Linked DNA regions of Notamacropus eugenii. The protein of the gene in region 1 binds, or shares a complex with, the protein of each later gene. Links are inferred from orthologs where the notes say so. Each region holds a gene or a part of one and is shown in the gene's direction. Other genes may lie near its edges.

Region 1 (15,627 bases):
CACAGGGTTTAGCAGTCCTACAGTGTTCCCAAACTCCTGTCAGTTTTGAGCCATTATGAAAGAACCCTGAATTGCCTTTACAGTTGCTTCTCTATACTGTGTGACAGGCTTTCGAACCTCACCCCAAAATAATGAAATAATCTTCCATTTATTTTAAAAAAAGATTTCTATTGCCGTAGGACATTAAGATTCCAAAGAGATGACGTAGACCTTCCCTGATGGATAGAGAGAGGAATCAGGACTTGACCTGTGATTTCATTGGTATAGGGAATCTCCTTCAGCTGAAGAAGCTTCATTTACCAATCCAATCAGTACCTTCTCTGAAACTTCTAGTCTTAAAAAATTGCCTAGAGTACTGACGGATTAAGGGATTTGCTTGGGGTCACATAGCCGGTATGCAATAGAGGTAGATTTGATCCCAGGGCTTCCTAGCTTCCAGGACAATCTTATATCCACTATGCCACACAACCTCTATAAAACGTATAATTTAAGGGGGTAGAAGGAAACACATGTACACAAATAACTATGATAACGAAGGAGTGATCCAGGAAAAGTAGCATGTGAAATTTTAGGGAAGATCATTTTGATTTGGTTGGGAAAAGGGAATAATTCCTGAAGGAACTGGTATCTAAGTTGAGTTTTAAGGGAAGGAGGAGACTTTCAGCATTAGGAGGTAGAGTGGAAAATTAACTAAACAGGAGAACAGTACAAGTTTGGAGAGGAGTGAGGGAAGGATGAGAAGTGGGGATAAAAGCTACCCTTGTCTGTTCTGAAAGTAGGGTATAAGAAAATGAATAGTATGAAGTAGGACTAGAAAGGTAGGTTGGAAGTTGGAAGGTTATGGAGACTCTTGGGTGCCAGGGTAAGGAGCTTTTAATTCATTAAGTAGTGGGCAGCCATTGAAAGCTATTGAAAAGATTATTGACATTAGGAAGATTATTGGGGCAGCAGTGCGAAGAGTGGAAAGCAAGGAAGCCAGTTAGGAGGACCTAAATATGCCCCCCTTCACCATTTCTGGAACTCCTTGAAGCTGCTGTGGACTTCCCAGACAGACTTTTATACTAGCCTCAGAGACTCTAGAGGCTCTATGGGATTTGGAATAATGGCTGAGGATAAAGGATAGAGATAGCTCTCTTCTTTATATTAAAAAAAAAAATCCATGTTGGGCACAGGATGAGGTAGGACAGTGCAGGCTATGGATATTTCCCTAGTTTGACAAAGGATATGGAGATAGTCTCAGTTTTCACTGGATTCTGAACTTGCCCTCTCTCTCAAGGCCTTATTAGTGGTACAGACTATTTGTGGATTTTTCTTACCCATCAATAAGACTTTCAGGATCCTACACCCAGCCTGACCTCACCCTAGACCCATCCTCAGAACCTTAGACTGCTGGAGGGAAATACAGGAAGCAGGAAGTCCCATCCAACATGGTGTTTTACTAACACACACCAACATGGTATTGAATTGGAATGGCTTGGATAAGGCAACCATTCATTCCTATCAAAAGCTCTCTGAAGCATCACAAGACTCTTATTCTATTCCAGGAGAAGAGCAAGAGAGAATGAACAGAAGTTATGGTGAAAAAACTTAGCTCAGAGAAGAACCTTCCAGACAAGAATAGACTTCTAAGAGATTATCCTTTGGAGAACTCTGAGTAGAACATTCTCTACCTGACAGGAATTGACATAGCCCTGCTGAAAGATGAAATGGTCTCTAGCCTTGGGAAACTGAGAATTAGATGGATTCAAAAAATCCTTGTCTAGGTTTGGTGGGAGGAAGAAGAATGAGGCAGGATGGAATGGGAGGGTGTCGTGGAGAGCGACCTCTCCATTTGGGAAGCTATAGCCCTCTGACAGAGAGGTGGGGGAAGGGGGAGCAGGGCTCACACAGCAGAATGGAGAACACTAATCCCCTCATGCTATGCAGAGACCCCAGAGTCCAACAGCGCTGTCTATACCTGCTTCATGAAATCCCATCGATGCTATGATCTGATCCCCACAAGTTCCAAACTGGTTGTGTTTGATACCTCCCTGCAGGTGAGTGAAGCTTTTATCCTCTACCCTTTCCCTGAGGCCTCTGCTTTATATATCCCATCCAAAGCCATTTGTAGGGCTACTCTTACCCTTCTTTCCCCTTATGCTTCTTATCCTCCTCCTCCCTCAATTTCTCTCCTAGTGACCCTTCCTTCTCTATTACTCATCCCCTCCTTGCAGGTAAAGAAAGCTTTCTTTGCCCTTGTCACAAATGGAGTTCGGGCAGCCCCATTATGGGACAGCAAGAAACAGAGCTTTGTGGGTAAGTAGGGGTCCGGAGGATGGATGATATCATCATGGTAGGCATGATGGGAAGTTGAGGGTGGCATTTGGGATTCCCTCATCTGAGGGTGTTCTAAGGGGAAGACAGTACGATTCCTAAGTATTCATTTGGCTTCCAGGCATGCTGACCATCACTGACTTCATCAATATTTTACACCGTTACTACAAGTCAGCCTTGGTGAGAAACCCATAACCCGTTGATTCTGATGCCATAGTCAGGAACCATTGATTTCCTCTTTGGGTCCCACCTCCAAGCCCTGCCACTGATTTCTGACAGTGTCTTCTTTGCATCCTCGGGTCTGCTTTCCTCCATAGTGCGCACAGTTCTTGCCCCCTGCTCCACTTCCCAGGGAACAGTCTGTTGGGGGTCTATTGGAATAGAGTGATAAAAGCCCGAACCCTGTTACCTCTATTCCAGGTACAGATTTATGAGCTGGAAGAACATAAGATAGAAACCTGGAGAGGTTCGTAGTAGGGAGTCACAGGGAGACAAAGGGTTGGAACATTTTCTTGGGAAGCTGTTTTCTTTGGTGGCATTTTGTGTGTAAATCATCTCTTCTCCTCTCAGAGGTGTACCTTCAGGACTCCTTTAAACCTCTTGTCTGCATCTCTCCTAATGCCAGGTGAGCTGCCATCTGCTTTTTCAGAATGGAAAAGTCATCATCAAAAGGAACCTGGGAAGGGTGGTGGGAGTGATGACCCCATACATACATGCCTTGGGATAGTCTGACTTTGCTCACTGTCCCCAAATCCTCTATAACCTACAACTGGAGCTAATCATTACCCCGTCATTCCACAGCCTTTTTGATGCTGTTTCCTCACTGATCCGAAATAAGATCCATAGACTGCCAGTCATTGATCCTGATTCTGGCAACACTCTGTATATCCTCACCCACAAACGCATCCTCAAGTTCCTCAAGCTTTTTGTAAGTGCTATTTCTCTTCCTCTCTGACTTCCCATCATCACATATACTGCCCTCAAGCCTCCCTGGGCTGGGTTAGGGAGTTGGTGGCTGAGGGCTGTTTGGAGGACCTGGTAGTCTAGTTAATTGATCTGTCTACCAGATTGCAGAGTTTCCCAAACCGGACTTCATGTCTAAGTCTCTGGAGGAGCTCCAGATAGGCACTTATGCCAACATTGCTCTGGTTCGTACCACCACACCTGTCTATGTTGCATTGGGCATCTTTGTTCAGCACCGGGTCTCTGCCTTGCCAGTGGTAGATGAGAAAGGTAAGGAATTGAGGAGGGAGAGAAGAAGGGGAGGGGAAATCTGTGTCCCCAGAGGTGTTCTGTGGGCAGTGATGGGGGTTCCATTGCTGAATTCCAAGCCCTTCCGGTTAAGATGCCCCTATTTTCACAGGGCGTGTGGTGGACATCTATTCCAAGTTTGATGTCATTGTGAGTGACTTCAGAAGGACCACTTCAGGTGGTAGGGAAAAGGAAGGAGGGATTGGGAAATGTGGGAAGGAAAAGGAGGGAATTCTTTGTGGGTTCAAGGGCTTCCGTGACACTGGTCTCCATATCTGATGGGAGAAAAGAACTGACTCCCTTACTGGCTAAGTGTGGACTGAGAGATGACCAGTTCACCTGAGTTCTGCATTTCTTGGGGGATGGAGTGGGATGGAATTGGGTTTTGGGAATTAGAAACCATGCTTTTGGGGCTCTTTGTCCTCATTTTCCCAGAACTTGGCAGCAGAAAAGACCTATAACAACTTGGACATATCTGTGACAAAAGCACTGCAGCATCGATCCCACTATTTTGAGGGTGTACTCAAGTGCTACCAGCATGAAACTCTGGAGACCATCATTAACAGACTGGTGGAAGCTGAGGTGGGGAAAGAGAAGCGAAAGACTTGGGAGTGTGGGAAAGCTGTGATTGTTGGATTGAAGAGAGAGGCTTGTAAATAGTGAAGGGAACAATGAAAACTACTTGATTGAGTTTGGCCTAAAAGCTCCCTTCCTTTCTCTCTTGCCATCCTATGCCAGGTTCATCGGCTGGTGGTTGTTGAAGAGAACAATGTGGTAAAAGGCATCGTGTCACTCTCTGATATACTACAGGCCTTGGTGCTCAGAGGTGGAGAGAAGCCCTGAGCTGAGCTGGAAAGAGTACAGAAAACACACCATACCTCTGATCAGCCGGATGGGATGCTAGAGGCTCTGATCCCTTTTGTGACACTCACCCACTCACCCAACCTTACTGAGAGGGTATAAAGGGGTAGGAAAACATAGAAACCCCCACACTTCGAAGGAGTAACCTCTAGCCCAGGCACCAACCATCTGCACTGGTTCCCTGCTTGAACTAAGGGCTGTGTGCCCCTCATCCTAGGTAATTCTGATCTCTAAGAGATCCCCAGTCCCCTCAGCAAATACCCTGCCCCTATCTCGTGAGATAATGTACCATGAAACTCTGTAAAGATGTTTTTATTCTTCCTGATACAAAAGGAGTTAGGGGGTGGGGGGAGACAGTGCCATTTCCTCCTATAATGATGTTGGTGGGGGAATACACCCTTTGGATTCTTGCTCTCTTTTCCCTTGCTGTGCTTCCCATGTCTTGGGGAGTTGGAAAGGAAAGTTCAGAATGGCTAGTCAGATTTATTTTTCATAGTGATTCTAATTAAAATGACAAAGATGCCCATTTCCTACAGTATTGTGTTTTCTTTGGGGCTATGAGCACCACTGATCTTGACCTCTGCATCTGTGGCTCCACATACCTCCCTCTTCTAAAACAGACTTGTTACACTTCACATCTCTCCTTTACCCAAACCATGCCCTTCCATGTTCCCAGCCTCCTCTCCCTCTACTGTGCTGGGACCTGAAGTTAATCCCTTTCGTACAGTATCTCCAGGGAGGAGGGAGGGCCCTTTCCCCATACAGACAGAAGTTAGTGCCCAGCCCCTCCCAACACCACTACCCTATACACCTCCCTGCCATGAATGTTCCAGGGACTCCCTCCCCCCCAGTGGTGCTGGGAAGGCAGGACTAGGCTTAGATTCTGCTGAACTGGCACAGTGTGTGAGCTTGCAAATCCCTTTTATTGCCTCTTCTGCCTTTCCTAAAAGCTGGGAATGGTTTGGGTAGCAGCAACAGTCCCAGAGGTAACAGATTTAATCCTCACTTGCCTGAGTACTGACATGCAGTCAGAAGCCATCAAATGGCACCTTCAACAGTGAGTTAGGGAGGTCTGGGGTGGGGGCTCTGGAGGGGAGGTGGGAGGACAGGAGGGTTAAATGCTAGCCTACCTCTCAATCTGGCCTTTCTTGCATTTTTGCATTCTTCACTTATTCTTCCCTATGCTACTTTTCCCAAAGTTCAGGTTTCTTAAAGTTAGGGAGGCTGTTGGAGAAAAGTCATGGGCTTCTGGGCATGCCTTTGTGGGGAAGGGGTACAAGTCCTAGGATACTCCCTAGGTAAAGAGGTCCTGCTGCGATGGGCCACCACCACACAGCACATTCCTGATCTTGAGGGAGGTTTCTGAGTGATTAGATGAGTTAGGGAGTATGCACATTCCATGGGGACAGGGTAGTGGGGGAGAGTTTGGAGAGGAAACTTTAAAAGGCCTAGAATTCTGGTAGCAAAAGAGACAGAGGCACCTTCACTCTTATTTAGCTATTACAATCACTGGAGTCAGGTAAGTATCTGGGCTCAGGGCAGGAAATGGGGGGGGGGGGTTGGATAGGAGTCAGATAAGTAATGTTATTGAAGTCCTTTTAAGGAGTAATGATGGGGACATGATTTAGAATCAGGATGCTTGAATTTTCTGTATCTGCCCCTGTGGGAGTGGGCATTTCAAGGGAGGTTTAAAAAAAGATAGAGAATAACTCCTATTGATCCATTCTCTACCTACCTGGTAACAACCACTGCTGACCCTGTACCCACCCCTACATGCATACACCCTTTTTCCTACCATATGTTTGGAAGGGAAGTGCAGGGATCTTTTAACAAATCAGGATTCCTTGCTATCTATCACTACCAACTCTGAACCCTAAGTGATCTCTTGGGTTAAGGGGGCAATTTTGGAAGTCTCATCTATATTCCTCTACTATTATCCCTTTTTTTTTTGAGGAGGTCAGTGGTAAGGGAGGAATGTTATCTGCTCCACCTAGAACTACATCCTTCCCTACCTCCACTTGAACTGCTAGCATGGTTGCTATGCATGGTTGCTAAGTCTCTGCATGGTGGGTTTGGCGTGGGCTGCGCTGTTACTAACATTGCCATGGTAAAGTTGGGAACCACCTGTAATAGTGCTGGGGGAAGGGACCATGAGAACATCAGAACACTCTCCTACTTTTGTTATCTGAGCCAAAACGGACCAGCGATGGGTGGACATCCTAGGCAGCAACAGGGAAAGTATTCAGAAAAGGGGAAGGGGAGGGATCCTGCAAATGCAAGCACAGCGGTTTTTTTGTCCTTCATTTTCGCTTAGTTGCACAACGGTTGGGAGAACTGGAAGCATTTTCCATTCTACCCGTCTTTCTTTCCTAAAAGTGCAGAAACTCATCCCACTTTTGTTTGCCAGAGTTGTGTGTGGGCATGATAGGGAGCGACTCTTCTCCCTACCTTCTGGGTTAGTGGGGGAAGAGACAGACTGCCATTATGGTCCCTCCCTCTACCCGGAACACCTAGAACTGTGCAAGGTGAAAGGTGTGGTCTCCAAAGCAGGCCCCCAGTGTTCCCGATAGCAAGGAAGGTGGAATGTGTGTGTGTGTGTGGGGGGGGGGGGGGTGCTTTAGAGCTTGGGAACAGCAGCTCTCAGCTCTGAGCTGAACACGAAGCAACCGCCTCCTCCCTCCGCCGCTGAGAAGCGGGTTACTCATCTTCTCCGGCACCCGCACTACCGCTAAAAATAACCCCCAAGAGCCTTGGGGCCGCCCCCTCCCTTTCCCCTGCCCCCAAACCCATGGAAACAGGCAGAGGGTGGAGAGCAAAGACCTTGAATTCCAAGGGACATTTTCTTATCCTAAATGAAGAAACAAGCTAGAGACAAGGAAAGCCAGGAATGGAACCCAAGTATCAGGGCACTCAGATTAACTGTAGAATAATGGGTTAATAAGACAGCAACGTTGGGTAGGGGGAGAAATTTTGAGGGCTGAGGAGGAGGGGGAGATGACCTTTGGTACCTAGTTGAAGAATCCACTTTCCAACTGGTCCCACTTGTGTTTGGGGGGAAGAGATGGAAGTGGGGAGTGTCCAGGTCGGCAACCAAGGACTGCCGCGTGCTGTGTGGGAGAAGTAGCAACACAGAACAACTGCCCGTGTCACATGCACGCACACATACATACACACACACAGACACACACGTGTGCTCGGGTATATATAGTCCCCAGTCCTTGGGTACGCCGCTCTGCAGCGGGTACAGGCTTCCTAAGCTAGGAGGGGGTTCTTGGGGTGGGTGGGTGGGGGGTTGGGGTTGGGGTGGAACAGGATGGTGGATGGCCCGCTGTTCTCCGAGGGGCCAGGCAGCCCCAGAAAGCCCCATGATGGAGAGTCTGCCGGCTGTTTGTGGGTACAGAAGTCCAAGATGTTAGTGATTGAAGTGAAGACCATCTCCTGTCATTACAGTCGCTGGGCCCCTGCTCACCAGCCCATGGACCCTACTGGGGGTCCTTGGGCCCAGGAACCTTCAAGCCACAGGTGAGTCTGAGGGCTTAATTGGGAGAATAGGTTGGGAGAAGGGCACAAGTAAGGGCAGTTTAGGTCCTGACCTTTCCACTACTTACCACTGATTGTAATGATACTGCTTAAGCCTCGCTGCACTCCTACTCCCTCAAACCGGGTGGGTCTAGGGTGACCTCGGGGGGGGGGGGGGGGTAGGGTGGGGGGTGGGGAGAACGAGAGATGGACATGGATTAATGAATAGAGGGGGAAATTGTGTGAAGCTTACACGATTAAAGTGTGACAAGGAGAACCTAGTCACCATAATAAAATAATCCCTATTTATCCCAGCCCTCCCCCCCCCCCCCCATTCTATAACCCTTGCGCACCCATTAGTCTTCATGGCTATCCTTTACTTCCCCCGAGGTTCCCTCTGCTTGTCCCTAAGCTTCGGGGGCCGCTCACCTGGGTTCCTGCTTATTGTCCCAGGTATGGGCTGGGCCAGAAGCCCCCAGAGCGGCTGCTTCGCCGGGCATGGGTGCCCCGAGTGTTGCAAGAGGCAACCAACTGGGGGACAGGGCACCCACCCGAGATCCGACCGAGGGAGCAAGAGAAAAGAAAGGCGGCCTCCCAGGAGCGTGAGGCCAAAGAAACAGAGAGAAAGCGGCGCAAGGGAGGTGGGGGTCGAAGTTGGAGCCCTCCAGGCCTCTGCCGTTCAGAACCCCGGAGTCCACTTAGCCGAGCCCGGGGCGGAGGTGGGCCCCGTCCCGAACCTGGGAGTATCCCTAAGGCCACCCAGCCTAAGGCTCGTCCGGTCCCTGGGTTGCCAGAGCACCTTGGGCCGGCCGGCCGACCGCCCCGTCCAGCAGCGCAGTCGCTGCGAGAGCCTGGCGCCGCAGCTCGAGGGGGACCCCGGATGGGGAGGCCATCTGGGCCTCCCAGTTATGAAGCCCACCTGCTCTTGAGAGGCGCTGCCGGGCCGGTCTCTAGGAGGCGCTGGGACCGGCCTCCTCCCTACGTGGCTCCGCCTTCTTATGATGGCCCCCACCGGACCTTGGGGGCCAAACGGCCCCCGCAGCTTCCCCGGCTGCCCTCCCCTCTAGCTCCGGCTCCAGCTCTAGAAGGAAAAGATAGAGAGGAGCGTCCCAAGAAGAGGCTGGATCCGCGGATCTACCGCGACGTTCTAGGGGCTTGGGGGATTCGGCAGGGCCGGGGCACCCTGGGTGGGTTTCTAGGAGGGCTTGGAGGGAAGACTTCAGACAAGGTCCCTGGGTTCTCCCCCGTGGGTCTCAATAGCAACGGCAGCGAGAGTTATTCACAGCCTGGGGCCAATCAGACCACAGGAGCAGAAACCATAACCTCTGGCACCCCCCAAACGACACCCAGAACCAAGCTCCCTCTCAGTGACACCTCCGAAGGGGAACGAGCAGAACAGACACGCAAGACCTGGGGTCCTTCCCCTGGAGACCAGCCACCCCAGCACAGCCAAACCCTTCCTAGACCCTGGGCCCCTGGGGGCCCAAGAGAGAAAGAGTCCCCGGGAGAGAGGGGTGGGTCCCAGAGGCCTTCCAAGCTTCCAGCCGACTGGAAGGAGACCCACCGAGCTCATACCGTGCCCCGCAGCCCCCATAATTCTGGTGGGGAAAACGGAGTGTTTGTCATTGACGCCACGTGCGTTGTGATTCGGGCCCAGTTCATTCCTACCCCTCAAATTCAACACGTGCAGCTTTTGCCTTCCCCGGGGCCACGGGATTGGGGGGACTCCCTGGCTTTCCAGAAACCCCGAAAAGAGGAGGGAGAGGAGGAGCAAGCTTTCCCTTCCCCATGCCAAAAGCTGCTGCAGAGTAGCCGGCTCTCTCATCAGCCCAGCAAGGGCTGCTCCGATGCCTGGGATGAGGGTGCTGAGGCTGGTGAGCCGGAGGACTCCTCCCTGGAGGAGCGCGCCTCCCGCATCCTGGGGCTCCCAATCAAGGAGCTGGACCTGGGGGCGTCCCCAGTTCAGAGAAGCTCGGACCCGGGCGGGCCCAGCGGAGCAGCTGAGAGGTGCGCGGATGGCGCCCGAGGCTCAGAGCCAGCAGCAGGGGGCCGGCGGCCGGCGGGCCGGGGCTGGGTGCGGGACCCAGGGCCTTATGCCGGGGCCCTGCGGGAAGCTGTATCCCGCATCCGCCGCCATACAGCCCCGGACTCGGACTCGGATGAAGCCCCAGAGGGCGGCGCCCGGAGCTGCTCCTCCGAAGGGAGCGACACGGAAGCCTCGGGTGCCACCAGGCAGCCTGAGCGAAGCCTGCCCGGGGGCCTAGACACACCAGGGACCCCAGGAGGGAGGGGAGAGGTCGGGCGCAGGGCCGGGGAGCTGAAAGACTGTATCCGGGAAATCCTGGATGTGATCTGCCAGACCGAGGAGGCACTATTCCGGGCCGAGGGCTCCGCTCAGGGAAAGCAGGGAGGGGGTCACCCCCAGCCATAGGTTCCCAGACCTCGGACGTGCTCCCGCCCTCCACGGTTCCCCCTCACCGTCCCCTTCACTCTGGCAGATTTCTCTCACCTCTTCTCACTTTTTTCTTCCATTACCCTACCCCTACACGTATTCCGACTTGGAGGTCCTCACATTGAAACCAGAGGAACAAACAGCCATTTGAGCTTTTACGGTTTTATTTTTTGAAGGAGAAGTGGGGGAAATGGAATCTTCTTATGTCTGGACCAGTTCCGTACCAATCTCAATTAAAGGGCTTAGAAAACAAAGCCCAGTGGTTGTTGGTTTGTTAATGTTTTTAACAGAAACCCTGTACATTATTGCGAGGCCCAAGTAATTCACACATCGCCCCAGTATTGACACCATCTGTTTTCTCACATACATAACCAGATAACCACTTTTTGTATTGGACTATCTTTTACATCACTTGAAAAACACAGAATTTCAGAGCTGAAAAAATCTTCAGAAACCACCTAGTTTACTCTCGAACAAGAATTCCCTCAATAACATCCCATAATATATAACATCAGCCTTTCCTTGGATACCTCTAATGAGGGGCAAACACTTCCTTCTGAGGACTGTCCATGATACTTTTGGATAATTCTAATTGTTAGGAAGGTTTTTCTTGCCTCAAGCCTCAATTTACCTCCTTGTGACTTCAGCCATTTTGCTTTTAATTTTCGTCTGGGACCACACACAATAAGTCTAAACCTTCTTCAACTTGACAGCCTTTCAAATATTTGGAGACCACTATCATTTTCGACCTAGGTTTTCATTTAAACATACCCAGTTCTTCAAACAATTCTTATACAAGTAGGAGTGAAGGCCTGCTTTTTTTTCTGGATGGCCCAGTGTATTTTGAAAAGACTGATACTATAGGATACAAAAGGGCCATAATCGGATAGGGAGGCCTAAGTAGAGATCAGATAGGTAATTGAAAGAGGGATAATAACAGCTGGGGTGATGTCAATTAGAGAGGGTATTAGGATAGAGGACTAATTAAAGGGGAGGGGAAGAAATAAGAAAGTGACTAGGGAAACTTTAAAAGTAAGTCTTGAAGCATTCCATAGTGGATTGGTTTGTTAGTGTGTATTTTTTTAAAGAGGTTACTGAAAGGAAGTAAAGGCTGGAGGAAGGAGGGGGAGGATTCAAATCAGTAAGTTCAGGACCTCCCTAATTAAGTTAATTCACTTTTATTCAGGAAGGGGGAATGAGCAAAGAGACCTCTCACTCTCCCCTTCACTCTCACACACCTTGCTCAACTTGGAGAATCCCAAGACTTGATGAATCAACCAACCAATAAGCATTTATTTAATATCTGTCATACCAGGCATTGTGCTAAGTGCTAGGTGGTGGCAAAAAGACAAAATTAACAAGCAGTCCCTACCTTCAAGGAGCTTGTAGTATGTAATGGGAGTGGTGTGGGATGATATATACACAAATTAGCAGATAACAAATACATATTTTATACATTGTGTACATATACATATATAATTTATTATCAGCACATAGGTAGGACCTGGTCCTTGAGCTGAACATTAAGGAAGGCATACAAGTCAGGTGTGGGAGATAGCTTACAAAAATAGTGGAAAATTGGAGATGGAATGCTATGTGTGGAGATCATTTATGGAGTAATGAAGAGATCAGTCTAGAAGGAGAGGTAGGAGCCAGTGAAGTGGAGTCATGAGAGATCAATCTAGAAGGAGAGGTAGAGCTAGATTGTGAAAAGCTTTAAATGCCAGACAGAGAAATTTGAATTTGATCCTAGAGGCAAGGGTGGAGGTTGAGGTTGAGGGGCTTATCTGTGAGTTGGGTGGGGGTTGCCTACTCTGAGCATGTGAAGACTTTCCCCTGGTGGAATGGGCAGATGAGAACAATTTGGTCCAACAGCCATGAAGGCAGCTGAAGCAGGTCCTGTGGAACTTTTAGGTCTTGGTCAGATGCCGAAGACAATAAGGTCATCCACTGCATCACGAGCCAAACCCCCATCATCTTGACTTGTGTCTTGCCATTGGACTTTGATGGCTCTGGAAGAGAGAAGCTAATGAACTTCAATGCAACTCTGCTTCGCTAAAATTCAGTTCTCAAAAGAATCAAATCATGACCCCATGATATCATTGGTCCTCTTTAAAAAGGAGGAACAAATGACAAGAGACAACAGGGAACTGATCAAATAATCCAAAGTATTATTCCTAAAGCATATGTTACAGTGACCCCATGCTCCAGAAGCTTCAGTGGCATCTCTGTTTAGCATTTCAAATCCTTTACTACTTAGCTCCAGACTACCTTTCCAGACCCACACTGAACCTTCACATACTCTGAGGTCCAACCAAACTGACCAACTTGCATCTCTCCTGTGACAGTCTCTATCCCATCTCTGAGCCTTTGCAAGTCAACTTCCACTGGACCAGCATCTCTGAAGTGAGAGGACTTGGGTTCTAATCCTAACGATGCAGCTACCTCTGTGACCTTGGGGAAGTCATCTCACCTCCCTAGGCCTTAATTTTCTCCTCAGTTAAATAAAGGGGTTGGACTAGCTGGCTGGGTCCAAAGATTGCTATCCTGTGTCTGAAATGTACTCCCTCTTTTCCTTTATTCATTATATTTCTTCAAAGCCCAGCTCAAATTCTACCTCCTACATATGGCCTTTGTGAATCCTCCTAGCTGCTCCCCTTCTAACCCCCAAGTTACCTTGCATTTTCTTTATATATACTGTTTATGTGTTTTTATGTGTACATATTTCCTTAAAAGGAGGCAGCTAGGTGGTACTGTGGGGAGAGAGAGTTCTAGAACTGGTATCAAAAGGATCAGAGTTCCAATCTGGGCTCAGATGCTTCCTAGCTGTGTGACTCTGAGTGAAACACAATCTTTGTTTGCCAGTTTCCTTAACTGTAAAATGGGGGTAATGATAGCACCTACCTCACAGGGATGACATGAGGATCCAATGCTTGCCATAGAGCCTGGAACACAGTAGGTGCTTATTTCCTCTCCAATAGAATGTTCCTTGAAGGCATTTTTGTCTTTATATCTCCAACACCTAGCATACAGTAGATGTTTGATGGTTGATTGACAGGGAGCCACCAGTACTTTAAAGCAGAGGGGATAATATGATTATATTAATGCTTCAGGGATATCACTCTTGCAGTTCTGTGGAGCTGGAGTAGAGAGTTTCTTGAGGCAGGACAGACATTGGAAGGCTGAAAGGTGATGAGGGGTCAAATTAAGGTAGTGGGTTTTTTGTGAGTGGAGAACTTGGGATGGATGAGAGAGTTGTGGAGGAAAAATGGCCAAGGTATGAGGGAGGGAGGGAGAGTAAGGGGTGCAGGAGGATTCCAAGGTTGCACACTTGGATGACTGGAAGTATGACTTTACCCTCTAAAGAAACAGGGGATGAGGAGGTAAAGATGTCTAGTTCCAGTCAAGATGGTCTGTAACCTTGGAGGATGTGCTGAGACTACTGCACAGAATAGGCTGCACTGGGGCTGTCACTAATCGTGATCTTAACTGCTAAGAGCTGGGAAGGAAATGGATAGCGTATGAAGTGATAGGTTCATAAGGCAGCATTCGGATGGATGGGGAAATCCCATGTTAGAGAATCTGTGCTTGAATCAAATTGGGCCCCACAGGGCTAATGCCCTAATCTGTGGCCTCTCACTTCCTCCTTCTCTTTTCTGAGGTCTTCACTTCATCTGTGGTTGCCACATTCCTCCCATGATGAAGTTGCATGCCAGGAGGAAATTTAAGAGCAAACCCTAAATCCCTCACATTAAACTTAGGGCAGCTAGAGAGGGAGGGAGTTGGTTAGGTTGGAGTTGGCCAGCCAATCAAGTTGTGTTACTCTATATGGTCACAGGGGGGCACACTTGTATTAAAGAATCTCCTTTCAATTACAGCCCAAACTGGATTCAGTCAGATTAGGGGGAATCGAAGACTTCAACCAATTAACAAATATATAGTGAGCTGTCCCAGTTATAACCTGGGAAGCTAGTCTGAAACTTGCCAACTCCTTAGACCCTTCTATTCCCTCTTCAACTCAAACCCCACTAACCATCCCAATGAAGGAAATCCAAGCAGGGACCCAGACACATTTCATTTCCTCTCTAATCCCTTAGGTTGAGTAGAATTCTGGGAAGGGTCACAAAACCGGCCAGATTCCTGCTGTCTGTACTTGGCTAGTTCCCCTCTTTGCTTCTCTGGGGACTATAGTGGAACAGAGAGGGGTTTAAATACTGACAGTTATTTGCTAACTGTGTGACTGCAGACTTTTATTCTAAGATCACATAGCTATTAAAGGATGCCATTTAAAAAATATATATAATCAAAGAGGAAGATGAGCTTCTTAAATTATGACAACAGAAAATAACTAGCAAAGGGAATAAATTTCTATATAGTACTTACTATGTGCCAGCCACTGTACTAAGGGCTTTTATAAATATTTGCATATTTAATCCTCACATCAACCCTTCAAGGTAAGTACTCTTGTCTCCACTGTGTGGTTGGGGAAATGGAGGCAATCAAAGGTCAGAGTCACACAGATAAGCATCTGAGGTTGGATTTGAATCAAGTTTCCCCGATTCCAGGTTCAGTTCTATATCTACTAGGCCACCAGCTTCTGGGAATAGGCCATATGTTCCACTGGTATCCTTATCATAACAATAGAAAGAGAAGAAGACCCTTGGTACATTGACTAGACCCTCTCTGGTTAATTGATGGGAAGACACAGACAAGAGGGGCACAGAACTGGCAGTCATGGCTGAATTTTGATTTTGCATCTTTGGAAGGATGTTTTCTTAGAAACAAACTGGGAACATTACTAGCAGTTACCTACCCAGTTTTAAAGAAGGTACTCCGTAAAGCACCATATAACTATGAGCTATCACTTTTCTGTTGTTTTTCGGTCATTTCAGTCATGTCCGATTCTTTGTGACTCCTTTTGAAGCTTCCTTGGCAGAGATACTGGACTGGTTTGCCATTTCCTTCTCCAACTCCTTTTACAAATGAGGAAACTGAGGCAAACAGGATTAAGTGATTTGTCCACGATTACACAGCTAGTAAGTGTCAGAGGCTGTATTTGAACTCATTACTTTCTGACTCCAGGCTCTTCACTCTATCCACTGCACTACCTCCACGGCCCACTATTCTGCCTCCTCCCAATCCCCCTCCCCGCCAGGCCAATTTCTTTAAGAGAAGTTTCCCCATTGCTACTGAAAGGAAAGGGCAGTAACTCAGAATAGGGGACTCCAACG
Region 2 (16,089 bases), about 65 Mb from region 1:
AAAGCACATCAGCAGTAAAAACGGTTTCCTTTCACAAGGAGCTCCATATACCTCTGGTCCCTAGATGGTGTCCCAGACATATGGTATTACAATGGTGTTTATGTTCCCACCCAAACTTAGAGTTGACCCCCCTCTTTCTCTGTGCAGTCCACATAATTCATAATACCAATGAAGGGCAAGATACAGGTTTACCCTTTAATGCTTTTACTAAAGCTCAGGTCCTGACCCTGATTGGTCCTAGCATTTAGCACTGTCTAGGAACTCATCCTCTAGGCCTAGAAAACTTGGTCCCAAAACTCCTTTGTTGCTCCACCACTGCTGTCATTTTGTGTTTTTTGCATGTGGCCCAAGAGTTCCTCCCTCTAGTCAATTTATATAAATTCATACATATTTTGATCTGACTGTAGAAACAGAGTTCTTTAAGCTTTTGAGAAAGGAGATGGTGCTACTCACATGGTATTTTGGGAATAGGACACTTATAAATGCCAGCTCATTTAACAACCCCAGTTGGTAGGTGTTTTATGGTGTGATTTGAAGGGAGTGGGCAAGAGGGAAAACGCACATACAAAATATTTATTCCATCAGCTTGCTACAAAACTTTAAACCCTCAGCATTCAGAGAGCTCATTTGAAGAAAGATCCTGTCTCAAGAAAAAAAGATTTATTATAATGAAAATATATTACCATACAGGGGCAAGACATTGAGACACTATCGTCACTATCATATTAACATGGATTGGTTTAGTCAGTTACATAAAAAGATGAGTTTTGTTGGATAAAGGAAAATGAGGAGGGGAAGTCTTATGAAGAGGGATGATGTAGGAGAGGTATTGCCATGGTTATTTCTGCACAGGTCAGGGCTGGCTTAGGAATAAGATTCCCTGATAGAAAGATAGATTCCTGACCAAGAAATGAAACAAAACAAATAAATATTTGCCAGTCTACTGGGTGATAACTGATATTACTTTAACAGAAGATTGTTTTTGGATTATAATATATGGAAAGGTAATACAGAAAAAAATTAATTCATATTAAAACATAGAGGCCATCATCAGAAAACGTTTTACTGGGTATGTGAAGGAAAAGTATGAAGGCACTGGGTATCTGAAAGGGGGCAGTGAAGAATTCAGCAAGGACGGACAAACACAACAACTAAGTACAGAAAGATGGAAGGGTGATGAAAGCAAACTTCATATATTTCATGATTTTACATAGGCCCAACTCTGTCTGAAGCCTAGCCTAACACTGCTTATTAGAAGACATTCATTCATTTATGAGTTTATAATGATCACACACTCAAGCTGTTATAATTTCTTACTAAGTGGCTCTCTTGCAAATGTGTACTTTAGGAGATTTTATAAAATGTATTTTGACAGCTTGTCTCCTACTGTCTTTGCCAACAGGAAAGGTTTTGACCTCTAAGTCATTCTCTTTATCACACCTTAATGCCGTTTAGTATTGAATAGCTTTGAAACAGAAGTCTTAGAGGTAGATCATGCAAGTAAATGGCAATTAAAGGATAAGTGGGAACAAGATCACACTTAAAAGAAAACCTCAGAATGAATCAAGGATAATCTGAAACATTATATTTCATAAGTATTTTTAACAGTGCACTTAGATATTCATTTCCAAACTGAAAATACATGACTGCATAAACTTTTACATATTTTTCTCTTTTTCTGCAACTTTAGAGACCCCAAAGTTGACCCTTACCTATAGTTTCAAATAAAATGTACAAACTAAATGTTAAGTAATATTGTGATTTGTAATGCAAATACAGTAATTTCAATATAGTTGTATAAAGCTTCAATTACAATAATGCCAATTTACATAATATGTTAGTGAACCATAAATATGGTAGCACTATGCGGATATTATATGTAGAATGTTAATTTCCTTTTGATTCCTTCCAAACCATTCTTTTACATTTTTTCATTCAAAAAGACAAGAATATTCACTGAAAACCCAATGTCAACAATATAAGGCAGTTTGTCCTCTCTTTAAAAAAGAATATATGATCATATTAATATAAGACCATTCTATATAACATGCATTTATTTATTTAGTACCTATCATGTGTAAGACATTGTCCTAAGGAAGCAAAATATAAAAAAACAGCTCCTCTCCCTCAAAGAGGTTCTATTATACTAGAAAGGGAAGGTTAAGATACAACTGGCAAATAGATAAGTATACACAAAATACTTTAAAGAGGAAGAAAGCACTAACTAGGGGCATCATGAAAGGTGAAACTGTAGCTGGGGTTGCTGGTTAAAAAAACACAAGCAATTATTAAGCATCTGTTATGTACAAGCTACACATATGTATATACATATATATACGCATATATACATATACATACATACATACACACACACACATATATACATATATATATATATATATATACACACCACTTTTCCTTGGTACAGGTGATGGAGGTGTGAAGGCTCTTAAACATACTAATAATCTCAAGAGTTTTTGACAGCCATTTCAACTACCAATTGACCACAATTTTTAAAAGTTATTTTACCAATAATATATTACAATTGAATAAATTTATTTTTACATTTTTTGTCAAGAATCAAATAAGCTATATGCTATATAATGTAAAGTAACATTTAGATATTACATGAGCTGTTATAACCCACCTTCATGGAGGGATTTGGTATGAGCATGCACAAGCACATAAAACATAAAAATTACAAAGAGCTGGAGCAAATGATGCCATAAATGAAATATATGATGACAAAAGACGAAGCCTTGGTCACTAGTGGAAAATGAATAAGACCCAATGGAAAGCCCATGAGGCTCCTATAGGTATCCTGGACTTTTATAGAGAAAGCAAGGCAGGTTCCCAGCATTGTGGGTGGACCACTTCTGGTGAACTTATAGGAAGAAATGAGCAAGGGTTGCACAGGATGAATAGGCATGGATAGGTTTCCATCTCCATTGTTGGAGGAAACATCCATATTAATGATGTCACAGATCATTTGAGTATTTCCTCACAAATCTGTGAGGCAGTTAGTTCAAGTATTATTCCCATTTTACAAAAAGAAACCTGAGATTTGGAGAGGTTTTATAACTGGCCCTGGCTAGTGAGCATCACAACTCGTTTGGGTGTTCTGTCTACTATATTTTTTTAAGTTCAGTTTCTCAATTAGGGCCTATTATGTACAAAGAACCAGGATCTACTATTTGTCTTTCTAAACTCTGATCATAGGATCATAAATGTTGAGCTGGAAGGGACCTTGGAGATCATGGAGTACAATTTTCTTATTTTACAAATGAAGAAACTAAATATCACAGAGGTTAGTGACTTGCCTAGGATTACTTAATAAGCAAGTGGCTGAGGGAGGATGGAATGCAGGTCTTCCTGACTCCAAGACAAACACTCAATCTAGGAAAGCACACTCCCTCCCATTACACTAAAACTTATTTAAATATTTGCCAACAAAGGCTGCCTTACATACGAATCTGAAAATAGAAAGAAGTTCCAGTACCCAGATTCCAAACACAGAGTTTGCCTTCTACCTCCCCTTCTTGTTCCTTTGTCCTTCCCCCTCACCCAAAGATGTACCCATCTCCATTCCAGGTACTTATTCCCCCTGGCTGCCCCTGAGGGACCAGACATATCTATATAGGACCTTCTTTTTAAAAGAAGTGGCCCCTGCTCTGGTTCTGTCTTTCTCTTTTTTTCTCACCTAAATATGTGTCCAATTACCTCAAGACTTACTAGTTGTTAATTCAAATTAAGGTTAGTATTTCACAAGGAATTTACATCTTAATAAGTACTTCTGGAGTAGAATATTGTAATCCAAAGAAATGATCCCAGGTTCATAACATACCAGATACTTTTGTTTATTTTTAGATATAAATAGTCTTTCAGTAGCATCCCTTAAGAACTTCAGTACCTTCACTTTGTAGGACCATTCTGATTGATTGAAGAGTGACCACTGACACAGCATCCAATCTTTGTTTCTTCTGGTCTTCAAAATTATGTTGGAGATTCATTTTCCTCATAGCTTTTCCAGATTGAGTAAAGCTATTATCTTCTGGCTATCACAGAATCACTGAATTTTAGATCTGAAATTATCTAGTTCAGCTCTATTATTTTACATATGATGAAACTGAGAACCAGGTATCTGAAATAACATGCTGAAGGTCACATAACTTATTAATAGTAAAGCCTGGATCTCAATTCGTGCCTTTTTGCAATTAGGCCTAGATCCTGTCCAGTACTGCCTACTGCTCATATGTTTGCAACATTTATATCCAGATGTAATATAAGCTCATTGAGGGCAGGGGCTATGTGCTTTTATCTTTGTGTATGGAGTATGTAACACAATGCCAGACACATGGTAGACAGCTAATAAATGGTTGTCAAGTGGCTGATTATATAACAATTGAATAAGGAGAATCTCTGTTTCTGTTGTCTTTCATTTGTGTGTTTCTATGGATGGGTATACATCAGCATACACACAGATGTTCACATACATTTGCTACTAATGGTGATTAACAATAAATCAACTGGCAGATCACTTGCACCTGTACTGATACTCCAATTAACTGGGGTTTTCTTCACAGGAGCTCTTAACACATCAGCAAGCATTTGAGAAGCAATCAAGGTAATGTCTCAGGGTTGTTTGGTCTTTTGTATCTGAGGTCATTTTTAAGCATTTAACAATATTTATCATGGACGTTAGCTATTGGCACATATCCAATACATACTGTTCTTGCCTTCTTTATTACTTTGTAAGCTCCTTTAACTTCATTTGCTAATGCCCACAGTATTTATAACAGTGTCCTTTGTACATGATGTGCTTAGCGATGGAATCCATTTACAGGGATCAGAAGTCAAGAAAGAAGGCAAATGGAAAGTTGTATTGACTGTTGTATACTCAAATAATGGTCAGAATGTGGTTTCAGATGCTGCTCACATCCATTACTTAACGATCTGCTTTCTCTTGCAGTCAACTGAAAACAAACAAAAAAAACACAAAATATTAGCCCCTCATTAACAATTATCCAGAAAAGTCTGAGACATTTTATCAGGGAGAAATGGATTATACTCAGGTTACTGATTTCCAGAGAATAACAAAATATATTAAAAGGACACAAATGTGGCAGTGTAATATAATGTAAAGAGCAACAGAGCTGGAGTCAGATAAAATAGTTTCAATTCTGCTTCTATCTGTGTCTGTGTGACCTTGGGCAGGTTACTTACCTTTTCCAGACCTCAGTTACCTCACCTGTAAAATGAGGGGGTTGGATTAAATAACCTAGAAGATTTCTTCCAATTCTAAATCAGTGATCCTTTGACAGGATCATAAAATTCCCTCTTTCAGTCTAGATCTGAGATTTTACCAGAATATGGAACTATTGGTTAGCAAACTCTCTCTACAAAGCATTTTTTTTTTTATCCAATTAAGGCCTTAGAGCATTGGCTGGGGCACTGCAAAGTTAAATGACTTTTCTAAGACCACGCAGGCAGTATATGTCACAGGTGGAATTTTAATCCAGTTCTTAATTCAAAGGCAGATGATATACTGCCTTTGATTTTGAAGTATAACTTTGTTTTAGTTTCCTTAAAGATCATTTCACATGAGCCAAAAAAAAAAAAATCTTTAATACGCTGTCTTTCCCTTTGCTAAGAATAACTGGCATTTAAATAGCAATTTCAAGTTTGCTAAACAATTTATGTCTCTTACCTCTATTAAGCTTCAAGTGGGACCTCCATTTAATGATTACCATTTTGTAGTTGAAGATACTGGGGCTCAGAGTTTAAGTGACTTACCTATGGGCATACAATCAGCAAGTGTCAGAGAAGGAACACAATCTATGTGTGCTTTAACTCTCTGTGTCTCTGTCTCTCTCCTAATGTGCTCTTTTCAAGGTAATAACAACAATTAGAATTTATAGAGCACTTTGAGATTTTAAAAACTATTTCACAAATATTACCTCATTTTTCCTCATCCTAACTCTAGGGTAAGTATTATTATTGTAATTCTCTTTTTTCAGATAAAGTAACCGAGTCAGATAGAGCTCAAGTGACTTTTTCTAAACCAAGTAAGTGAACCAGCAAGAACCGGAACTCTGCTCTTTCTACCTCCAAGTTTAACACTATCCACCATGCCATCTAGCTGTCTCTCAAAGTAAGTATTCATATTGGATACCCTTTTCTATCAACATTATGTTTGGACTAACCTCCCTATGTGTTCTCAGAAACTCTGAGAATTTATGCCATATGATCAGCTCTCTATCACACAGAAGATCTGTTTCTAGAATTAGGGAGACAGCAATATATAACACATCTGGTTAGAAACCTCTGAAGAGGCAAAGTACAAAACATCAACTTTACAAATTCCACTTCAAATTCTAGGACAAGATGAGCCTCTAAGATTCTTGTGATTAAGTTCTGACCTTGAAGAATGACACTGCAATCTACCTGTATTATATGACCTCGCCAATTCCAGCTATCCAGTCTCTCTTTCTTAAGCCCACAGGACTTTGTCCTCAACTTTCAACCCTGCTCTTCCCCAGGTCCATTCAACTTTATGACTCTTTCCTCCTTTATCCAAGACCTTCTCTACTGTTTATCTAGTGTCTAATGATTGATTTCATCCACCTACATTCTTAGATGTTCCTCATTCCAAAAACAAACAAGCAAGAACAAAACCAAATTTTTCCTTGATTCTTCTATTTCAATCAGGTACTAACTATCCCATGTTTTTTTTTTTTCTCATCAGTGGTAAACTTTCTGAAAAATATTTGCGAGTATACAAGTCCTCTATTTCCTCACACTTATTCTCTAAATCTTGTAATCAAGGGCTTTGTCCACAGTCATTAATGGAAACTGCTCAAATAGCCTTTTTTGAGTACTTCCTTTATTTCTACTGGTTTTAGCATCGTGATGCCCCACTAGTAAATGCTCTCCCCTCCTTTAATTCATGAGCAAGACACACTCTTGGTTTTCCACTTTCCATTTTTCTCCTTCACTCGTTCCTGATCTTATTCCTGGCTTTAGTGGTTGCACAATTCTTCATTTCCAAAGGAAAGTACACTACATTCCTACAAGCACCTTGTCCATGCTAATGACTCCCAAGTGTAGATTTCTTTCTCCTCTAAGATCTATAACTACACATCAGGCTGCCTGTGGACATGTCTGCCTGAGTGTCCTATTGGCACCGCAAACTAAGAGCTCATTATAGTTTGCCTTTTTGTAGCTTTTATTCTTGGCTTTGGTCTTCAAAAGGAAAATAACCAAAAACTTACAGGAATTACAATGTAGCTTTTACTTCTTGATCTACTCTGCTTCTCCTACCACTCTCAGACAGAGCAGTATGAAAATTGAAGTAGAAAGATGGGGAAGGTGGTAGAAATCTACACCACTGACCAAAGACAGCCACAAACCAGAGAAGGTCAATCAAAAGTATAAGCTTCTTCTCCAGGATCAGTGTGGTTGCATTTAGAAGTGGAGAAAAGAAGGGAATATCCCCTGATTTTTCCTTTATTAGGAAATAAGTCAATTTAGCACCCTGAAAAGAAAAATAGAGTCTCCTAGAGGCAGGGGTCTCTCTGTCTCTGTTCTCTCTCTGTCTTGTTCTCTGTCTCTGTGTGTTTCTCTCATTTTCTCTCTCCTGCATTTCATGTGGCTTAAACTTTAATTTTATAGTCATTTAAAGTACAAAAAAACTTTGACTTTCTTAAGTTGGGCTCTGAAACTCTGGGGTGAGGAAAAAGTCCATCTCAAAATCATTACAAACCAAAGCTTCCTCCAGGCTCCAGATGTCCTGCTTTGAGGATGAGTGAATGAGATTCAGCTTAGTGAAGAAAAGTAAGAGAGAGGTATCCTATATATTAAAGCTTTAGAGAGAGGAAGATTTGAGACTTCTGACAATAGTCAAGAGTTAAGTATGTCATTCTGTGAAATGACCATTTATCCTATTTCTGAGGTTCATAACCTCAGGCTTATATTTGAATCTTCCTAATTTCTTATTTCCATTGAGTTTCCATGATCAGTGAATCTCAGCTTTGCAATATTGCTCACATCTGTTTGTTGCCTTCACCTAGAGCAGTCCCTCATTACTATCTGCCTAGAACAGGGGTGGGAAACCTGTGACCTCTAGGTCCTCAAGTGTGGCCTTTTGACTGAATCCGATTTTTTTTTTCTGTGAGGTTTGGCTTCAGTCAAAGGATCACACTTGAGAACCTAGAGGGTCAAATATGGCATCGAGGAGACAGGTTCCCCACCGCTGGTCTAGACTACTAATCTAGGCTCTTGACAAGTATTTCCTCTTCTACTCTCCTTCCCTTCAATCCATTTTACACACTGCTCTTTGTATTAGATTTCTTATGTATTCATCTCATCATATCACTCCTCTGCTCAAAAATCTTCAGTGAATACCTCCCAAACAATATTCTAATTCCCCTGCCTACTGTTTGAGGTTCTCTATAAATTCATGCCAACAGATTTTTCTAGCTTAGATCATATTACTATCAACCCCTTCTATTCTTTGTTCCCTGAATGTACCTTATGGCCTCTCATCTCAGGACATTTTTTTTCTCATCATTAATCTCAGTCATTTGACTTCTGAATTTCTAGTTATTATTTAAACCACAGCTCAAATGCTATACTTACCTTGAAGTTTTCCCTGATATGCTGCTGGTAACTATTTTTCTTGTTGGGCTTTATATCACAATTTGCTTTTATAACTCCTTAGAATACTTATAATGCAACACATTGTGTTACAGTTACATGTGTTTGTATCACATCCCTCCACTAAAATATAACCTCCATGAGAGCTGGGAGTCTACCTGATACAAATATTGTATTTCCAAAGTGTACTATACAAAGTTCTCCCCCATAATTAGTGCTTCATAAGTTTTCTGAATTGAATTATTAAAATGAATGTTCCTTTCATAAATTCATAACTTCTTTAGATAACGTAGGACTTTGCTGCAACACTGTTCCTGGCTTCTGGGCAATCCCAAAGGAGTTTGTTTTTTCTTCCCACCTTTTCAAAATATAACCCAGATTGGATGGTTCTCCATCTCTTGCAAATAGTGCACGTATTACTAATGTTTAAAAAATTCCATTAAAATTTTTCTGCTCTATATTAAAGAAACAACAACAAACCACGATCTCCCAGAAACTAAAATTTTAGGTTTTAAAGTGAAAGTAGCATCCCCTAGAATAATCCTTATTCTTCCATTCCCATCTAAGCCTTTCTCGGCAGTGAGTCACTTTTTAGCTCTTAGAGAACAAGTCTCTCTTCCTTTCCGTACTTTAAACCTGAGCTCCTAGTTAAATGCAGCAGCAATGAACAGGTTAAAATAGCTAAGCTCTCTCCTTAAATGGCTTCAACAACCCCCTTCCCCGTCTTTCCCCCAATCTCTTGCTTTTTTTTCTCCAAAGAAGTGGGAAGCCTGGATAAGGGCAGCCCTTGGTGCTGGGGGTGTGGAATCCCCCTGCCTACTTCCTGATTTGGGGGACTTCTGTTCCCCTAGTCCACCTACCATGGTTCACTTCAGACAGAGGGGAAAGTGGAGGGGGCGGAGCTGGCAAACTAGGACTCCAAGCTGCTTTAACCCTCTCCCACCAGCTACAGTCACTATCCCAGAGGTCTCCAACTTTTTCCCCCCTCCTAGAAAGAATTCTAAAGTCTCTGGCTCTGGGGACGTGGTAGGAGATAGATAAGCAACTCCTCTACATACTGAATTGGCATTCCCGCCACTTGTCTGTACTGCTCTCTGACTGCCCCCCCTTTCCTTCCCTTCTCTCTGGCCTTCCCTCTCGTCAACACCCCAACCCCCCCACCCCCACCCCGCGCGCACCTCCCTCCCCACCAAGTCCGGACGCATTTTCCCCACAGAAATCTCACGCCAGAGGACTTGCCCTGCCCAGGCTGCAGATGCTCTGGGATGCTTTCTCCCTCCTTCTTCATCTGGAGCCTGGGGCAGCAGGCAATAAGCACTGCGGAGCTGGGACAAGCGGCGGAGGACAGCCGGCCCGGAGGCTGCTAGGGCCCCCTTCTCCTCCTCTGGTCCTTCCTGTCCACTCTCCCCTCCCCTCGGCCAGCCGCGCTTCTTTCTCCCTTTGCCTCGGCTTGCTACCCGCCTTCTCCGGTAGGCTGCCAGGCGGACCCAGCCTGCCTTTCTCCAAGCCTTCACTACCGGGTCAAGCTGAGGAGGGGAGGGAGCTCCAGCAGCAGCCCAGAACCCCTCCCCTACTCCCCATCCAACAAACCCTCCTTCCCCTCCTCCTCCTCCTCCTCCATCCTACCTCCCCTCTTCCTTGCTGCCAGTTACAACTAGTACGCTCACAGCAGCTGCCATGGATATCAGCTAAACACACGCGCACACACACACACACACACACACACACACACACACACGCAGCGAGTGACCCCTAGTATCTCAACCCTCCCCCCTTTCCCTTTCCCTTTCCCCACCCCCACCCCCTCCCTCCCTCCCTCCCTCCCCAGCGCAGCTACTGCTCCGGCTGCTGCTGCCACCACCGCTGCTCTGCTCTCTGCCGGGGCCACAGCCTTGAGTGTCATTCAAGCGGCCGCCAAACACCACCCCAAGCTCTCTTATCCCAGCCTCAGCCGTCATCCCCTCCGCTTCCCACTTCCCATTCCACACTTCCCCCCAAAAGGGGAGGGGGGAAGCAAGCAGGGAGTGGGGCCGAGAGGAGGGAAAGCGAAGTCTTACCCTTCTTACCCCATCTACTCTCTCCTCGTCCTCTCACCTCCCGGACAGCCCTACATACCGGAGCGGAGCAGGGCAGACCACCCTACTGCCATGTCTAAAAGCTTGAAAAAGAAAAGCCACTGGACTAGCAAAGTCCACGAGAGTGTCATTGGCAGGAATCAGGAGGGCCAGTTGGGCTTTGAACTGAAGGGGGGAGCCGAGAATGGACAGTTCCCCTACCTGGGGGAGGTGAAGCCCGGCAAGGTGGCCTATGAGAGCGGCAGCAAGTTGGTACCGGAGGAGCTGCTGCTGGAGGTGAATGAGACCCCGGTGGCGGGGCTTACCATCAGGGATGTGCTGGCAGTGATCAAGCACTGCAAGGACCCTATCCGACTCAAGTGTGTCAAGCAAGGTAAGCACAGCTTTCTTATTTGTGTGACGGACAGCGAGACTCCGTCCCTGGGGCTAGAGGGTGGAGGGGCGTGCGTGTGTGCAAAAGGGGGTGTGTTGTGTGACGGTGGGGTGGGAAGATACAGAGAGTCATGCCAAAGCAAGGAAGATTTGAAGATTGCCCCACTTGGGGTAGTTTAAGGACTGAGGAGGCTAGGGTACAGATGAGGATGTGGCATGGTATGCAACTTTGTTTTTTTCAGTGGAATGAACTTGGTCTTGAAGGTGAGGGGAAAATTGAATGTGCGTCAGTGGCATCCCTTGGCGTGGAACTAAGATCTGGGGAAAAGAGAGTGGAAGGAAGGAAGAACTTAGGGAGCAGAGGCACCGCCAGCGGGGCAGAGAGGAATAAACACTTGCTGGGGAGAAGGGAGATGTGATAATTGGGGAGATGCGGATATTCCAGTGACCCGGACTGGAGACGCCGAAGTCGGTTGCCGGTTAGGAAGGAAAAGAACAGATGTCTTTGGGCTCTTTGACAGCTACTCAGTAACTTTTTTTTCCCCTTTCCCTCTTTTCTGTCCCCCCTCCCCCCTTCAGTCTTGTCATGTGGATAGATAGCGTCATGTGCAGCACCAAGTAACCCAGGGCAGTATTTAAACAACCTTGACTTCTAGGGATGAGACTAGGGCACATACGCAGGGTGCTGGTGCAGTAGAGAGCTGGTACTGGTACTGGGGAAATCTAATCAAAATGTACTGCGCTTAGTGGTTTTTTCCTCATTGAATGGAACTGTTATGGAGGAGTTGCCTCAGTAGGCTGGGCTTTCCCCTGGCAGGGGTTATTGGTGGGTGTGTTTCTAGGGAGAAGTGGATGGAAATGCCAGCTGGTTACCTCCCAGGCTCCTTCAACTTTGAGCTTCTGGGAGGCTTTTATCCTTTGGGCTTGCCCCTGATGTGAACATAGGAGGAATGGGGTGGGGGAGGAGGAGAGAGAGAGTGCTAGCTGAACTCTAGTAATCTTACTGGCTGTTTCTGTTTGAAGGAAAATGAGATTCCCCAAGGAGGAAGGAATGAGATAAAAGTTTGGCAGAGGGAATAACTTCAAGGAGACTCACATAGAGACTATTCTTTCCACATGTGTGTGCATGTGTATTCATAGGCAAATTTTGCACATTTCATGTGTATAGGGGAGTGAATATATATATATATATATATGATTGTGCAAATTTTTTGAGAGGTATATTATATTCTTACATTGTTAATAAATTAAAGATGCTACTTTTGTTTATAGAGATATGTACAGACACCCCCACTTATACATATATGATTGTGAGATTGTCCTCACAAGTGCAATTGACTGGCACCACAAAACTCTATTCAAGATATTTTGGTCCTCAAAAGGATTAGATGTATAAATAAACAAGTAAAAAAAAAATGCCTTGAAAAGGAAAACTTAACGCAGGAAAGGGAGGATGGGATTCAATTAGTGTAATAGACTGGAAAGAAAACAGACTCCAGAATCAGAAGACCTATGTTCAAATCCCATGTCATGCTTAATACCTTTGTGACCCTGGCAAGTCATTTAAACTTTGTGCTTCAATTTCCTGTACTGCAAAATGAGGATTGAGGAATAGATAGCTCCTGAGGAAACTTCAAACTTTAGATCTCTGATTCTATGACAGCTTTAAAAAGAGAATTTTTCAAAAATAGAAAAAAAAATCTTCACAAACTTAATTACAACCCTACTGAGAATTGAATCTATATGCAGAGTTGGATACAAATGCAGTATTTTATGCTTTCCAAAACTGCATACCCGGGGCTCAGCTATGAGGATTTGAATTTTTTTCTTTTTTGTCTGTGTTCTGTGTAGATCCAGCAACCATAGCTTCTAAGATTTCAACCCCTTCATCACTTTTAATGTGAAGAGATATTGCTTTTAATATGTTAATCAAATATATGTATATACACACATATACAGTCATATATGTATGTATATAGTCATATATGTATGTATATATGTTTATATATAGAAGCAACAAGTTAATATAGAGAAAATTTTGTTGAATGAGCATTTTCTTGAAGATTACTGGTTAACTAGCATTGCTGAGTTTCACTAGTAGAGTAATAATTAATTGCAAGGTATCATACTTAAGGCACTTGTATAGCCTGATGAGGCTTTTGAATCATCATGAATAAAATGATATTCAGTCTTAGTGGCTTAGTGTTGTATATCATGATAATATTATTATGATTCTTTGAAAGTTCATAAAAATGTCTATGCTTTAACCAAGATTCTTCTTTGTTCAATCCTGTCAGATAATAGAAAAGCTTATGGATCTTTATTATTCCACAATGGGAGCAAACTTAACCCTGGTCAAGCCACTGCACATCTCTGGGCCTCAGTTTCCTCAATTTGTTAATTGATAGAGTTGAACTGGATTCCCTCTGAGGTCTCTTCTGTCTCTAAATCTGTGAACTCTTGCATAGTTTTATACATTATTCTTTGCTTTTTCAAAGAAAGTACTTTGACACAGAGAGAACTGGCAACTTGAGAATAAAATGTGTACCTTCTCTTTGTAGTATGACTCTTAGATAACAACTGAAGTTTGAAATATGCTCTACTTTCAAATGATTATAATTTTCAAAAAAAATTGAATAGAGTAAGAAGAGTTTACTTAATCAATAAAGGAGAATATTAGTTTCCATCAGAATCTCTGATTTAATTAGTGCAAGGCATTCCAAGTAAGGAAATTTCCAGTGCAAGTTTTAGTATTCATGAGTTGCTTAGGGGCCAGCAGTGAGAGGTTCTAGGTGACTTTCCCAAGATTATAAAGAGAGTGTATATCAGAGGTGGAATCTGAATGTATGTCTTCCAGATACCAGATGACTTGCTACATACTACAAAATGATATGTTCATACATGAATACATATATTGAAAAATATTTTCATTTCAATTCATTCAAAAAATTGATGAATTTTCACTCTTATCTAGTTGTGCATTGGCTATCCCTGGATGTATTGCAATTTTAAGATATTGCTATCGATAGTCATTTTGCTATGTGGCTTAAAAGCATACATTTCTAAAATTATTATTTAGCCAACTTCATAAAAATCCACTTTTTAATTTAAGTTGGCATATTTCCAATTCAGACATAGAATACAAATGTGGAATATATAATTGTCCCAAATCCAATTTTTGTAAATTATTCCTTTTGTGCTTTTAAAATAATTAATTTTCATTACCCAAGTGATTTGCTCTTAAGTAACTGTTTTTACTTTCATTCATTTTATTGAGGAATTGTATTCATAGAAAATTCCTTGAATAAGATTCAATGGTGTGTGTGTGTGTGTGTGTGTATGTGTGTGTGTGTGTGTGTGTGAATTCTCACACAGATACATAGACATACACACTATAGTTCATAACACAGTCACAAGGAATACTTCTGTACTACATTTTTTGGACTGTGGCTACCAGTACCACCTGGTGACACAAATAGTCATGTACCATGGTTTTCTTTTGAAGTACTTACAAATGGAAAATAGGAGAAAAGGGAAAAAAGGAGAAGTAGCTTCACCTAACCCCCTTAGTTCCAGAGAAAGGGAATATTCTACCCATTACTCATTTGAAGACTCCAAGAAATAAAATGAAACATAATTACTAACAGTCTAATTTTGATCTCCTTTATAGAAAGAGTTATTTATATATTCCTTCTTTTTGGTGAAACAAGACACATACTCTCTCATAATAAAGATGACTTTTTCCTCATGATACTTTGAAGTAGGGGATGGGAATAGGAGATGTGCATCAAAATTAAATATTTTGGTAACTTGGCACTTTCTTTGATTATAAAATATCTTTACCATCCTGAAACAAAGTTAATGAGCATATTACTTTTATTTTGGCATGATTTATTCATGACATTTGTGTACATTTTCCCTGTACATAAGTAATTAAAGGAACACAATCTTGAAAGGACTAATCAACTATTTGCCTTTTTTAAAAAAAGAGGGAGATTAGTCTTAGAATGAAATCACAGTCAGAAGTATGTAAGTACTAGTCACTACTCATAACATTTACAATGTGAGATCTTTCAGCACATGCAGTATAAGCACATCTTCCTTTCAGTGACTTGAAACTCAAACATGCAAATTCTCAAGGAGCAAAAATGTACCACAGATCTCATCTTGGATTCTTTCTGCTTTAAACAATGGCTTTCAAAAACTCATTTAAAAATAGCAGACTAAAAAGTTGATAATCCTTTTCCAATTATGTCAGTCATTAAGATATGGTAGCATTGCAAAGTTTTTTAAGCTTAGAAGACTTCTCAAATTTTGAGCTAGAGTTGAGGGTTAATAATATTCCTAGTGGGAAAATGCAAAATGATTTACATATTTAAAGTTATAGTCAAATTCAAAGATATAGTTGATTTTTTTTGATCTTGAAGATGAATTAAAACTTTTTCTCTAAGTGAAGAATTAATCCTATAGTTAAAGATAATATCTATAAGCAGAATGAAGTACTCAGTAGAGGCTTTAGATTTGTCCCTCCTCATGCTGAATGTTTCAGTAATGGGTAGCTACTTTATACAAAACTAGTACTTTCACCATCCTTTTGTTTCTGGAATTAACTCCCTCCCTCCTCTGCCAGTGAATCATTCACCACAAACTTTCAATCATCACAGTCCTTGTGAACAATGATCAGGGTGAGGAAGAGGAGAATTAAGAGTGTGTCTTACCTCATGGAAGGAAGGAGAGCATGCTCAGTAGTGGGGCACTGCCATGGTGAATACAAGTAAGGAGGGTACTGGAAAAAAAAAGACATTTGGTTTAGCTAAGAGGAAGTCATTTGAAGGGAGGAGGAGGAGGAGGAGGAGGAGGAGGAGGAAAGAGAGAGAGAGAGAGAGAGAGAGAGAGAGAGAGAGAGAGAGAGAGAGAGAGAGAGAGAGAGAGAGAGAGATCAGTAAGAACATCTGGATTTAAATTCTATTTATGACTAGCTGTGTAA

What was found.
Region 2: the proteins of DDN (region 1) and MAGI2 are in contact, whole or in part, in a crystal structure (PDB 6KKG), measured with the Mus musculus proteins. The link is inferred for Notamacropus eugenii from reciprocal best matches to the Homo sapiens genes DDN and MAGI2. Residues at the interface, in NP_001013763.1 of Mus musculus: Asp222, Arg223, Pro224, Pro225, Pro226, Tyr227, Val228, Ala229, Pro230, Pro231, Ser232, Tyr233, His237, Arg238, Thr239, Leu240, Gly241; in NP_001164217.1 of Mus musculus: Glu308, Met309, Ala310, Tyr311, Thr312, Glu313, Gly315, Tyr318, Ile320, Asp321, His322, Lys325, Thr326, Thr327, Ser328, Trp329, Asp358, Tyr361, Tyr364, Val366, Asp367, His368, Arg371, Arg372, Thr373, Gln374, Phe375.

Annotation. Positions count from the first base shown.
Region 1 is NC_092874.1:220,871,272-220,886,898, reverse strand, and holds DDN (dendrin), read left to right. Parts: upstream 1-7,738; coding exon 7,739-7,947; intron 7,948-8,397; coding exon 8,398-10,375; 3' UTR 10,376-10,469; downstream 10,470-15,627. Other genes in the region: PRKAG1 (5'-AMP-activated protein kinase subunit gamma-1), read left to right, coding at 1,927-2,295, 2,435-2,493, 2,734-2,779, 2,884-2,938, 3,115-3,241, 3,381-3,546, 3,677-3,714, 4,000-4,146 and 1 more. UniProt on the Homo sapiens protein: Promotes apoptosis of kidney glomerular podocytes. Podocytes are highly specialized cells essential to the ultrafiltration of blood, resulting in the extraction of urine and the retention of protein.
Region 2 is NC_092874.1:155,950,263-155,966,351, reverse strand, and holds the start of MAGI2 (membrane-associated guanylate kinase, WW and PDZ domain-containing protein 2), read left to right. Parts: upstream 1-10,224; 5' UTR 10,225-10,802; coding exon 10,803-11,103; intron 11,104-16,089. UniProt on the Homo sapiens protein: Seems to act as a scaffold molecule at synaptic junctions by assembling neurotransmitter receptors and cell adhesion proteins. Plays a role in nerve growth factor (NGF)-induced recruitment of RAPGEF2 to late endosomes and neurite outgrowth.